2 linked regions of the Caenorhabditis elegans genome follow. The protein of the gene in region 1 purifies or fractionates together with the protein of each later gene. This does not show direct contact. Each region holds a gene or a part of one and is shown on either strand. Other genes may lie near its edges.

Region 1 (7,841 bases):
ATCAATTAAAGATGTTGGTGGGGTTTGATCAGTAACAGTGTTACTTTGAGGAATCAATTGAACGGATTCGTCGTTGTTTTCCGGTGAAAGGTACTCTGGTTGTGGAACCGATGTCAATCCATTCTCATATTGGACTCTTGCGAGATCTTTTCGAATACTATTTACAACATATGATGTGAGCTCCGAAGTGTATGGATGCTCACGAGTTAGCATCAGTTCGTGCACTGAAATTTCAAAATTTTGAACAATTGAAAACATTGGTTTGTTATTTTTAAAAATTCCGGTTAACTTTTAAACTATCGCTTCTTGCAATTTTTGTGTTTTAACAAATTTTATAGTTTTTATTTTCTGAATTACTACTCACGTTGGATTCTATCCTGCATGTCTTGTTGTGCAGATACTTTCACCGTAGAAGCATCTGTAAATGTACTGTTCAGTGAGATTTCAGTCATTGCGGTCATTGGTGTCTCCACGGAGACTGGCGTGGATTGCGAATGTGCAAATGTTGCTCGAACGGCTGGATGAATTGGGAAAGGCATGCCAACAGAGGCCGGATCATCTTGAATGTCTTGGAAAATCTCGACGACATCCACAAACTTTGGTCGATCAGCCGCAGCAGTCTTCCAACAGTCACGCATCAATTGATAGACTCTTGTGGGAATACCATATGGATATTCTAGACGAGCACCTTCTGTCAGCATGAGCATCACCTCTTCGTTACGTCGGTTTGGATATGGGACAACTCCAAGAGAAAATACTTCCCAGCATAGAACTCCAAAGCTCCATATGTCAGACTTTGTTGTGAAGACACCGTCGATGAATGCTTCAGGTGGAGTCCATTTTATTGGCATCATTGTTCGCCCATTTATCCGGTAGTATTCAGTCCTGAAATATTTATGTTTAAATGCACTGATTTGCTGAAAGTTAATCCAATTAGGATCTGAATACATTAGAAATATAATTTTTGAATAGATTAGAGTATTGGCTTCTAATAACCCACTTACCCATATGTAATCTCTTTTGCCATTCCGAAATCAGCAATTTTTGCAACTCTTTGCGGTCCTCTTGTTGTGAGTAAAATATTTCGTGCTGCGATATCTCTGTGAACATATCCAAATGTTTCCAGGCATTTACAACCCGCTGCCACGTCACAACATATTTTAATTAAGTCACTCATTGCCAATTGGAATGGATTTAGTGATACTTGCTGGAAAAAAAAACAACTTTTTTGATTTAAATATATGCATGAAAACTTACGTTGGGACGGCACTCCTTCACAAAAGATAGTAAATCGCCACCTTCCATGTACTCAAGTGCAATCATATATGGGACCTTCTCGAAGTCAATTCCAATCAGACGAACTACATTCTCATCCACGAATGTTCTAAAGTAGGGAGATAAATTAAGAAATTAACAAGAAGACATGTTTCCTACCCCATACAAAGCGCTTCGTTGCAGAAATCTGACTGCGACGCTTGGCTGGCTGAGAACGTCCTTGAAATCATTTTTACTGCGAGCTTGACACCACTATATTCCCCGTAGTAAACTTCACCAAAGTTTCCTCTTCCCAGCACTCTTCCCCTTTCAATCGAATCTCTTGATATTGATGGTAAAGAGTCGAGAGCAGCTTTTCTGGTCGTTCGACCGAAATAGATGTCATCGTAAAGGTAATCCGGCTGGAAGAAATGAAAATCATAAGATTCCGGTCTAGTGGTAATCCGCTGCTTACTGATTTCATTTGGGTGAGATCTAAGATTTCCTGTTTCATCTGCTTCTCGCGGTTACGGTAGTGATAAACAACGAACAAGGCACCAATGATCGTTAGGGCCGCGAAGATCAAAAACGTAATGTTGTACAAGGTCCAAATTTGGATTTCTTCTACAAAGTAAGATTTAGTGAGCCACTTTGAAATGTTGAACAAGCTAACCGCAAGTATCGTTGTACACGTCATAAATTTCCTTCCCGTTGTTGCAAAGACAAAATGGTTCGTAGGTAAAATTGCGGTACTGGTTTGTCGATGATGAAGGGCATACCAGAGGAAAAGCTTAAATGGGCGTTATTTTATTGTTTTCAAAACTAGTTTGTTGAAGAATCAAATTTCAAAAAAATGATGAAAGTTCAACTGTTCTTACCACAAGCTTCCTCAGTGTCAGTGACATTTGATCCATCAGGACAGCCACAGTACTCTTCTTCAAAGTAATCTTTTCGGAACCTACACACTGTTGGAGGTTCACAACGTTTGCGGCAAAATGCTGAATAAAAAAGTTTTTAAACTGTGCTTCAAAGTAATTGTTGCCTACCAATTTTGATATAACCTTCGTCAAGTCTTTCGGATTGATAGTAAATGGGCGATTTTGAAAAGTCAATGGACACATTACTTGATCCACTTCTCGCTCTACTCTTCCCAAACGGATTTCCTGCTTGATATCCTGCACCACTGCCACCGAGCATTCCACATGAGTTCCCACCTCCACCGAATCCTCCGAACACTGTGCTTTCACCTTTTTCGCCGGGACATCGATTATCGCGTCGTTCAACGATAAAATCAGTATGCGACACGGCTTTACATGTTTCATTACACCTTTGATCTGGCTTGACATGAATTGCGGATGCTCCATAACCGACTTCCATGTCAAAACCATCCCATGATGCTCCAGCTCCACCGCCAGCCACAACATTCCACAAATCTTTTTCAACGGTTAGCAGAGTTGCTCCGCCACCAGCAGCCCCTCGTTTTCCATCATACACGTAGTTGTGGCTGATTTTTGAGCATGAAGAAGGTCGAAGCTCATCATCGTGCTCCGTGAAGCATGGACTTTCTCCCATTTGACCAATTAGCATACGCAGGGAGAGATTTTCGATCAGGTGAACCTGAAATATTATTATTTCACGGTCTCATTTTAACTTTTTCTTATTTTAAACATGTCATAAGTTCAAAAAGATCAGGACAATTGTTCAACCATTTTTTTTTGCTTTTTGAACTTGATTTAACGAAATTATATGTAATGTCAGTAAATATAGAAATTTGTTCCCCAATTGGTTTGTGATATGACTAACATTTTTCGAAGATACTCGGGAATACTCGTACCTTCTAAAATTACTTTATGAACTGAAAATGCTTAAAATGCTAATTGAAACGTTTGAATAACTAACCTGAAGTGTGACACAATCTCCAGTGTCTCCCGATGCTTTTGAGTTTGAACCACCACCAGCTCCACATATTTCCATCCTATAAAATCCTGTAACAGGAACTGTCCATTGCTGAGTTCCGTCTTCTTTCAGAAAATGACCGGTTTGACCATCAAGTTCTCGATTGTGATCGCAGTTTTGTGGTTGCTCAAACCCAGAAGCTCCACATGTATTAATGAAAAGATCGGGGATGTCCCAAGTTGACTGATTAATATCTAAAATATTTCTTTAGAACAGTCAGGATCCCTATTGCAAACCTCTTTCAAAACAGGTAGGACTGAAGGATAGATTATCGATTGCCACATACTCTTCGGAACCAGGGAAATAATTTGTCACAAATATTCCAATACGAAATCCTGCATTTTGTCTTGGTATATTCACAAATACTCTTTCCCAGGTACAACTGAAATTAATTTTGCTAACAGAATAATAGTATGAGAAAACTCACTTTTCTTTTGGGATCAAAGTATATCCTGCTTCATAAATTATTGTTCTTCCACTTTCCATCGGATTGATTCCTTTTGATATTACAGATATTTGCCATACTTTTGAGTATGTTCGCGAACAAAGGTAGAATCGAAGCTAAATTAGTAATGTGCACAAATTTTAAGAATTTTTTAAACGAATTGAAACTTACTTTACACGACTTAAACAATGGACTTTTCTCATCATATGCTTCTGGATTTGTTCTTGGTAGTTCTGGTGAGACTAAAGCTGATGTTCTTCTAGTCAAAGGGTTTGGCTTGTGATCAAAAACCAGCATATTCCCTGATCCTCGCATAGCCTCCTTGATTTTCGCTGACGGCGATTGCAGGCGGAATAGATGTAGAGGTACTTCATTCAATTTGTTTAAAGGGGCAACTGTAGTTGGTTCGGATAGTCTTTCATGGTAATCAGTAACATTTGTAACTTGGTACCAAGAGTTACAGTAATCCTGACCATTAAAGTCGCACATTGTCCCATTAATATTTCCTAAAAAAGGTGATTATTCTCAATCAAAAATTATAAAAGTACCGCAGTCCATTTCATCAGATTCATCGTCACAATCAATTCGTGAATCACATTGAGCATTTTGGAGGCACCGTGTGTTAGCAGATATAGAGCATAGAAATTGATCACCACGAGAACATTGCTCAATCGGGTCTCGAATCTCTAAAAAAAGTTGTCTTCGATTTTTTAAATAATTGTTGAGAGGCGAAATATTTTCTACCGGTTTTTTTTGTCTAACTTGTAATTAAAATGTTATTTTTTATCACAGTTATGAGCTGCAAGTTTTTTCAACTACTCACCACCACAGTTTTCAAAGTAGATGTCTGCTATACTGCATGTGAATGGCTTATTTTTCTTCTTCTTTGGTGGAAATCCAGTCTCACAATCTATTGAAATTTTAAATGGTTCTGCGTAAGATCCAATCGCAACCTGGACCGGCACCCAACTGAAAGAGAAATACTTTTGGTTTGTCCCTTCTTCATTTTACTCACAATACGCTGGCTGGTTTCAGCCAGTGCTCGTATAGGTTTTTCTTTTCCCCAGATTGCAAAATGGATCTTACGACAAGTCGAGATGTTGAGGATTGATGAGTGAAGTGATGCATAAATCGTAACGAACACTGAAATCTCAGTTTCTGGTATTTAACGATTCAAGTCAACTTACGTTGAAACCACTTTGCCTAAAAAACTTGCTAACCATCGAAACCTTGTTCATTTTGAGATTTGCCTTTTCTGAACCAGCTTGCAGCATATAATCTATACAAAATTAGAATTTATCGGCGACATTATTTAATTAACTCACCAAAAAGGACCTTATTAGATGACTCAAAAACTTCAAATTTTAAATCATCATGATCACTATCTGGAGTCCAATGGCACTTTTCTTTGCTCAGATCGCAATGTTTCTCTGAAAAACAGTTGCGTTCCAATCATATGTATAGTTTGTAAGTTTTATTTTTACCTCGTTTTCCACAATAACAGTCTGGATACAAGACCATTAATTCTGTCGAGTTGGTCTCTTCGTCACAAGTTTCTATGAAACAGTTGCATTTTTCTTGCTCATAATGATATGTTTTGTAAGTCGAATCAACTCGATGATCGCAAAATGAGCTTGTCTCATTGCAAGTGTTTTCTTGAATGTCTGAAAATAGCATTTTCTTAAGGAACTACATAGAACATAGTCTAGCAAGGATAAAAAACTGAAACATAAACCATTTGCCATCAAATTTGAAACTTCCAATAATATGTAGATATCATTTCCGTTTAGTCTCAATTTAATGTTTTTAACTGAATTTTTTTGAGTTTGTTAAGCTTTAAAGTTATTTTATCTGTCTTTATGTCGATTGAAATCTGGTTTTTTGTTGAAAATGTCTGTCACTGCCAATTATGTAAATACTACGTTTTATTCAAAATTCAAAGTAGTAAAAAGTTAGTTAAATGAAAAAAAAAGTGAATGAAAAAAGTTTTAATTTTATTGTCCAATTAATTGTTTTTTCACGATTTCTGAAAGTAGATCTTACAACAGAAAAAAAAACTTACCGCTAGTTAATGAACAATTGGGTGCTAGTAGTGCGAATTGCTCTGCAGCTTTTGCTTTCTGAAAGAGGTTAATTTAGATTTACTCACTAACTACTCAGCTTACTGATTCTGCGGAAATATAATATGATCTTGAAGATCCATTTTCTTCATCCTCAATAAGGAATCGATCCGCATAGTATCGTCTCACATCGAACGTCTCATTTGGCAAAATGGCACCAACCAGTGTGACACGAAAAAGGACTACAAACCACCATAGTCTTCGTTTACGCATCTTACTGGTTCGCTACTTTAATGGAAATGAAGTGACATCTAAAAATGGGAAATGTATCAAAAAAAAAAGCGTGAAGAGGAGGAGAAGGGTGGGGGGAGCAAGAGACACGGGATATGAAATATTCGGAAAGATTAGTGGAGCAAGAAGAGGCGGATTACTGGGAGAAGATAGAAGATCGTGAAGAACGCTTATGAACTGGAGAAAAAAGGAAAACGTTTGTCAAAAAATTGTTAGGAAATTGTGGGCTCGCTGCCACATAAAATTAAGTAAAAGTTGAGCAACATGTCGTGTCCATTCATTACTTTTAATATTTTCTTCTTACAGTTTTTGACAACTTTTCACAAATGCCCGATTTAAGTTGCAGGAGTTTTCTATAAAGTTTCATTTAATTTTGGTTTCACTCAAGTATTTTTGCAAGCGTTTTGGAAATCAGTAAGTAATCATCAGAAACAACAAGAACAATTCATCAAATTATTCAAACTATTGAGGGAGGTGAGTTTTAATTAATTCTGGTCCACCTACTTTGAGTTTCGCAATTGAAAAAAAACGTTTCAGTTGTTGAGGTAAATCTATATAATTTCTCGGAAAGTAACAACAGGAACGGAATAAATTAGAATAAAAAAAATATTCCAAATACATATAAAGATGCCTGAAACGAGACTTTATTTGCACAAAATAAATCAGGCTTCATGAATTCAATCTAAATTTGCCATCGGGAAAAAACACGGGGCGGTGACAAAACCACCTGCTGTTCACCCGACTAATTCGGTATAGACATGACATTTGACGGACGGCGAAGACAACGGATAGAGAAGGTAGACTTCTTAAGAGAAACAGCGAAAAAAGTTGCAGAAAAGAGAATCTTTGAAGGAAAGGAAAAAAGCACAAAGTCTCTGCTCACCCTCTTCTCCTGCTCCCATCTCTAATTAATTCGTCGAGAGGAGAAAATTCCGCCGTCGTCGTCGTCGCCGCCGCTCTTAACCCATTTCTTACTCTTCTTATTCTCATTCTCAAAAGTCTTCTAATTTTTGATCCGCGGTGCCAATTCCCAATTTCCGCGGAATATATCATGCAAACATTCTCTCCATGGCATTAACACCAAAATGGATAGGGATAGAAGGAGCAGCAACAAAAGCTCACACGGCACGCTCACACCGGTTCGCCACTCATTTCGTTTCAGCTCCCCGAGCCCACGCCACGCACTTTTGGCTTTCACTGACAGGAGAAAAAGAGAGAAAAACATATGAAGTGTATTAACATATGAAGAAAGGGACAGAGAAAAAGACAGAGAGATAGGGATAGAAAACAAATATATCAGAAGATGTGGGCATGAGCTGGTCAGTCTGGTGACGGAGGAAAAGATGAACAAACTAGACAAAAAAGGGGAAAATTGCAGACGAAAAAAATAGGGAGACTGAGAGGATTCAAGACTAGACTTGCAATGAGTACTACTGAAAGGAATACTCATGACGTGAGAAAAAAAGAAAAATAAGAAGAGCCACTAAAAGTGAGCTCAATGCGCGCACCGCGACTCTCAATCGGTGCTGATCGCGAACGGTCGCTTTCGTGATTCGAACATCAAACCCTGTTCCGCTTAAATTAGACTCTCCACATCTAGGGTGCACAGTTCAAAGCTTTAGTTGAAAGAAAGATAGAGTTATACTATGCACTGAAATATAAAGATATGAATTTGATGGCTCTACTCCATTAATGGTTCTGCGGATCTGGAAATATTTAGACAAAATGAATAAACATCGCCTGAGAGTTTTCTAAGATGCATACTACCTTGCCTAAAAACTACCAAAACATAAGTCTTAATCCCCAAATATTTACTGTCGAATGTAAGATGTTTG
Region 2 (4,663 bases), on another chromosome or scaffold:
TCAAATTTCGGAGACGAGCTTCGTTAGGCATCATTGGCATTGGTGCTCCGTCTTTCTCCCAGTGAGTTGGTTTCGAGAGGTAAATTTGATTGAATTTCAATGAGAATTTCGCAGGATTTTCCATATCTGTGCCAAGATGCTGATTTTCTGATTGAAGTTCGACTGGCGGAGAATCCTCAACAATTCGCTGCACATTCATTTGGACGAATTCATCGAAGGAATCAAGTTGTTGACGAACGAGACCCTTCAAAAAAGAGATTCTTTCATGATTTTATAATCAAAAATACCTTTTCATCGAAATAAGCACTGATAACAACCCAACATGCTTCTTGCCATGCTTCTGCACTGATTTCATCCGAATCATCGATATAGTCTCCGTCCATCGGGTCATTAACCATCTCATCCTCATCATCGTACATCATTTTTGCCGGCGACGTACAGTGATTCTGATATGAGGCTGAAAAAGTTGATGATTAGGAAAAAAGAATTCAAGAAAAACTATAGGTATTTAGCGGATTTTTACAAAGAAAAAACCGAATAAACAATTTAAAAAGCATATAATATTATTATAAAGCGACGAAAAAGCTTCATTGAGAAATGGACCAATTATCACGAAGTGACTAGAAAAGCTCGATAAGCAATAAAAGAGATCAATATGGGAATGAGAAAGTGTGTGAGAGGAAAGCGTGCGGGAAAAAGATCTATTATGAGTGTTTTAATTACAGGTAAAGTTTAATATCAGAATTAAATAATTTTCATATTTTTCTGAAAATTATAATAACAGTAGAAATATGAGACAAGCGATGAAAACATGTGAATAATTACATTTTGAGTGGCGAATAAATACGCGCGCAGAAGTCAGAATATACGCTCTAGCGAACGTCTTCAACCCATTTGTGGACTTCCAACATACACCATTGTCACTTCTGTGTTGCCATAAACCGCACAGACAGCCGGATAGAGACGTAATGGGGGAATATGGTTGAATGCGATTCCGAGAAATTCCGAGTTTCGTTCAAAGTAAGCGACATGGGTGTCACAGTCGATTATTAGGCGGATTTTATCGCCGACCTGGAAAAAGGATTATTTCAGTTTTTAACTAATTAGTTTATTCGAAGATTTTAAACCATTATTTCAAAATATAATTTTTCAGGAAGTTAAATATTAAAAAAAAAAAACAACAAAAAAACTTGTTCTAAATTTTTAAAATTTCACTTTGTTAAAAAATATAATTTTTCTTTTCTGTACAGTTTTAGTGAATGGAAAATAATTGTTTCAATTTATCGAAGTTTGAATATTGTGAATTCTAGCCGAGGAAATAAAAAAAATGGTTTGAATTTCTAGCACTTTTCACAATGCAGATATACAGAAAAAGTTAATTATTGGAAATTTCTCGACAACTCAAAAAAAACTCGTCATGCGATTTTACCATGACGTTCATGTTTCTTAAATTGTTAGAGATGAAAAATTGAACTTTTTCACATATTAAACAACTTTATAAAACAAGAACGTCGTATTTTGTAAAATTGTGGCCCAATACCGTTGTTTCGTCCTAGAACGAAATATATTTGCTTGCATCGGCTTATAACTGAATTTTTTTAGTGAAATACCTCATATTTCGGAGGATTGTTCATTTTTGGATAAACACCAAGCTGTGCTCCATTGTGCATCAAAACATTATCTACAAGATTCCATCCCCATGATTGATCATCTGATCCGAGGAGAGCAACATAGCCAACACAGTGAAGAGCAGCATGTCTGAAAATGTTAAAGATATATCTTTAAATTTTCAAATAAATTAACTACTCACTTAGTAGCAATACCAACAACGGCTACAGTTCCCAACGGTCCATCCCAAGTTATATCAAATGCGTGTACTCCTTTTGAAATCCCTCGTTTTCCACGGACACCGTCTGTTGACTGAGCAACTGGCTGCCGGTGAACAGTGAAACCGTTGGTACGGATGTAGTTATTTCTTGAAATATCGCTCGTATTCCAGGCAAAATACCAGGCTCTCAGCTTCTTTTTTGCAGATCCCAGCTCGGCGAGCAGGAAGGGATCGGAAACTGCTGCTTCTGGAAGCTTCTTGCCAAGAAGGTACTGCCATATGTCACTGTCTTCCATTGAAAGAGCGTTATTCCAACTATGACAGGTTAGCATTGCAGATCGTAGGTCTGAAAACAGAGCCATGTAACTTCAAGGGGGAAAATGTTATATGTTTACCTTTCAATGGTAAATACTGAAAAATCTGATTCAGTACTTTCAGAGGAAGTCTAGAAGCTGACACTTCCGGGCGTCGTGGAGAACGTCGTCGTCTTGGGGGAATGCTATGCGGAGTCAATTGTTTTGGTGATTCATCTGGGGTTCCTGATGATGGATTCCCTTCGTCATCACATTCCACCATTGAAGTTTTTCGTTCTTTCGGGCTTTCCACTTGCTGAAAATTTAATATATTTCCCTTTTTTATTATTTTATAGCTTGTTTTCATAAACAATTTTTTAAAAATATTGTCTAGCTTTGAAGTTTGAAAAATTCAAGTTTCAAAAACAGTATTTTGAAAAAAGAAAGCAACTCACTTCCAACCCACTACTTTTCATAGGCGTTGAGGCCGTCAAATTGCACTGTTCGTCTGGAACAATCGTTTCCCCGTCGTTTTCAGCCATACTTCTCGATTAACCAGCTCACCACAGTCTTGTCATTCGCTTCAAATTGAGAATCCAAGTTTCAGAATGCATAATGTTAAGAAATAAAGTAAATCTCGGTAAACGACCGGTTTGGAAAAAAATCAACAAATAATTGAATATAAACTCTGCTTTTTGGTATTCAGAACAAACAAAAACAATGCAAAACAATGAAAAATCTATAAATCTACGGAACAAAAATTCTAATAAACCGAATTTCGACAAAAAACGATAAAGGAAAACCGTAATATATCATAAAATTAGATACACCATTACTTTTTAACTTTTGCAATCTTAGCTTTCGTTTTATCTCTTCCAGTGGCCTTCTTGGCGTCGGCATCAGTGAATAAAATGGATGGAGATGTGAAACGGAACAGTTTGGGCGAGAATTTTTCGTTGAAAAGAAGATTTTTGGGAATTGTGCCTTCTTCGGGTTCTGTCTCCGGTTCTTCTTCGATGGTTTCTAGTGATGGAGCCCATGTTGGCATTGGGCCGGATTTCAGACGTTTTTCTTCTTGTAAGCAATCTTTAAGTAGAATTGTTTCTCCAATATCACCAGGTACACTTCCTTTCACATAAATTACTTGTTTATCTACATTGATTCGAACAATCTTAAATAAATGAATTGAAAATTAAAATCGAGAGCAATTTCTTACTTCCAAACCAGAAACAGTCCTCCACTCATAACCCATATGTCCCGGCATACGTTTTCCTGGCCAAATTCGAGCATCGCCGACTGAACCAACGGAACCAATTCTACGATGTGATTTTGTGGTACGTCTTGTCGGTTGTCCACGCATTCCCCATCGATGCATTCCACCCTGAAAACGACTAGTTTCGAAAATATTTCGCAAGGGTTGAGAGATTATTTTGCTCCTTGGCTTGCAAGGGAAATTTTGGAAGTTTTAGACTATTGTAAATTGAAAAAAATTACCTGGAATCCCCAGTCAATAGTTTTTCCAGTAGCAGTTACATATTGACCAACTCCGAAGTGACGGGCATCAAGTGGCTGTCCAGCACTGGGGAGAGCGTCTTCTGTTACCAGGAAACATCCGAGTTTCTCTGAATTTATTTTTTTAACCATGAATTTACGGTGAAGGACTATCGAAAAGCGGAGCAAAACACAAAAAAAACCCAACCTTTCACTGGAATTCCTGCGCGAACAAATTGCCTACGGTACCCAAGCGTGTATTTTGTTGGATCATCATTTCCGGCACCCACTGTAACTCTCCACATAGGACCGTGACGATTGAAAGCCTTTCTTTTTCCGACGGCTGACGATTTATACCAAGCCTCTGGTGATGTAATACTGACAACATGATTTTCATCAACTTCAAGCACAGTGCACAGAATTCGGTTTCCTTCATTTGTCCATTGTGGGAGCATTCCGATTTTGCGGACAACCAGACCCACACGTCTTGATGAATCTGGAATGTCAACAACTGAGACATTGGTTTCTTGAGAATTTTGAAATGCAATGGTGGACGCCGCAAGAGTTTCTTTCTCAATTACGGTTTCAAGCAGATTTCTGAACAAAAACGTTTGCTAAACAGGTAAGAATTAATGCAACTTACTTTGTCCCCTGGCTAATACCCACACTGCTTTTCGGCACACTCTCTTTGACTGGCGGAAGCCATGGAGCTGGGGTCAATGTTCTTCTGCGACCTCTCTGCTGACTGATATGTCCACTGAAGGCCATTAGAATTCTCCCGGCCCATTCTGGAGTCGGACCCGTCGTCACACTGGATACCAGTGAACGGAGCATCTGTAATTAAGATTAAATATTAGTGAGATATAATTGATCATGAAATTCTAGAATAAAAATGAAGAAAATATCATCAGAAACTCCGCATGGAAATAAAAATGCGAGATACGAGAGCTGGACGAAATATAAAATGATGGCATAGCTAATTATAGCTTTATACCTTGAATGAATAACACTTCTGACAAGCATCAAAGAAACTTGTGTTAAAATAGTAGCT

Evidence for each region.
Region 2: the proteins of scd-2 (region 1) and fsn-1 purify together in Caenorhabditis elegans (affinity purification with western blotting, with the first as the bait; one study listed by BioGRID). This does not show direct contact.

What each region holds. Positions count from the first base shown.
Region 1 is NC_003283.11:6,631,416-6,639,256, reverse strand, and holds the start of scd-2 (ALK tyrosine kinase receptor homolog scd-2), read right to left. Parts: upstream 6,033-7,841; 5' UTR 5,989-6,032; coding exon 5,821-5,988; intron 5,776-5,820; coding exon 5,718-5,775; intron 5,320-5,717; coding exon 5,140-5,319; intron 5,086-5,139; coding exon 4,981-5,085; intron 4,935-4,980; coding exon 4,843-4,934; intron 4,799-4,842; coding exon 4,671-4,798; intron 4,625-4,670; coding exon 4,479-4,624; intron 4,342-4,478; coding exon 4,204-4,341; intron 4,162-4,203; coding exon 3,827-4,161; intron 3,772-3,826; coding exon 3,638-3,771; intron 3,593-3,637; coding exon 3,447-3,592; intron 3,405-3,446; coding exon 3,154-3,404; intron 2,872-3,153; coding exon 2,301-2,871; intron 2,253-2,300; coding exon 2,133-2,252; intron 2,045-2,132; coding exon 1,928-2,044; intron 1,879-1,927; coding exon 1,730-1,878; intron 1,677-1,729; coding exon 1,435-1,676; intron 1,385-1,434; coding exon 1,258-1,384; intron 1,208-1,257; coding exon 1,005-1,207; intron 886-1,004; and 3 more. UniProt on the Caenorhabditis elegans protein: Probable tyrosine-protein kinase receptor which regulates the dauer/non-dauer developmental decision probably by controlling daf-3 transcriptional activity in parallel or together with the TGF-beta pathway.
Region 2 is NC_003281.10:4,935,361-4,940,023, reverse strand, and holds fsn-1 (F-box/SPRY domain-containing protein 1), read right to left. Parts: upstream 2,703-4,663; 5' UTR 2,664-2,702; coding exon 2,577-2,663; intron 2,438-2,576; coding exon 2,224-2,437; intron 2,175-2,223; coding exon 1,811-2,174; intron 1,759-1,810; coding exon 1,611-1,758; intron 1,072-1,610; coding exon 886-1,071; 3' UTR 571-885; downstream 1-570. Other genes in the region: rpb-2 (DNA-directed RNA polymerase II subunit RPB2), read right to left, coding at 1-244, 288-422; mrps-18C (Large ribosomal subunit protein uL3m), read right to left, coding at 2,954-3,292, 3,338-3,502, 3,616-3,743, 3,821-4,209, 4,256-4,446. UniProt on the Caenorhabditis elegans protein: Component of a SCF (SKP1-CUL1-F-box protein) E3 ubiquitin ligase complex which is required for the restriction and/or maturation of synapses in GABAergic neuromuscular junction (NMJ) presynaptic neurons.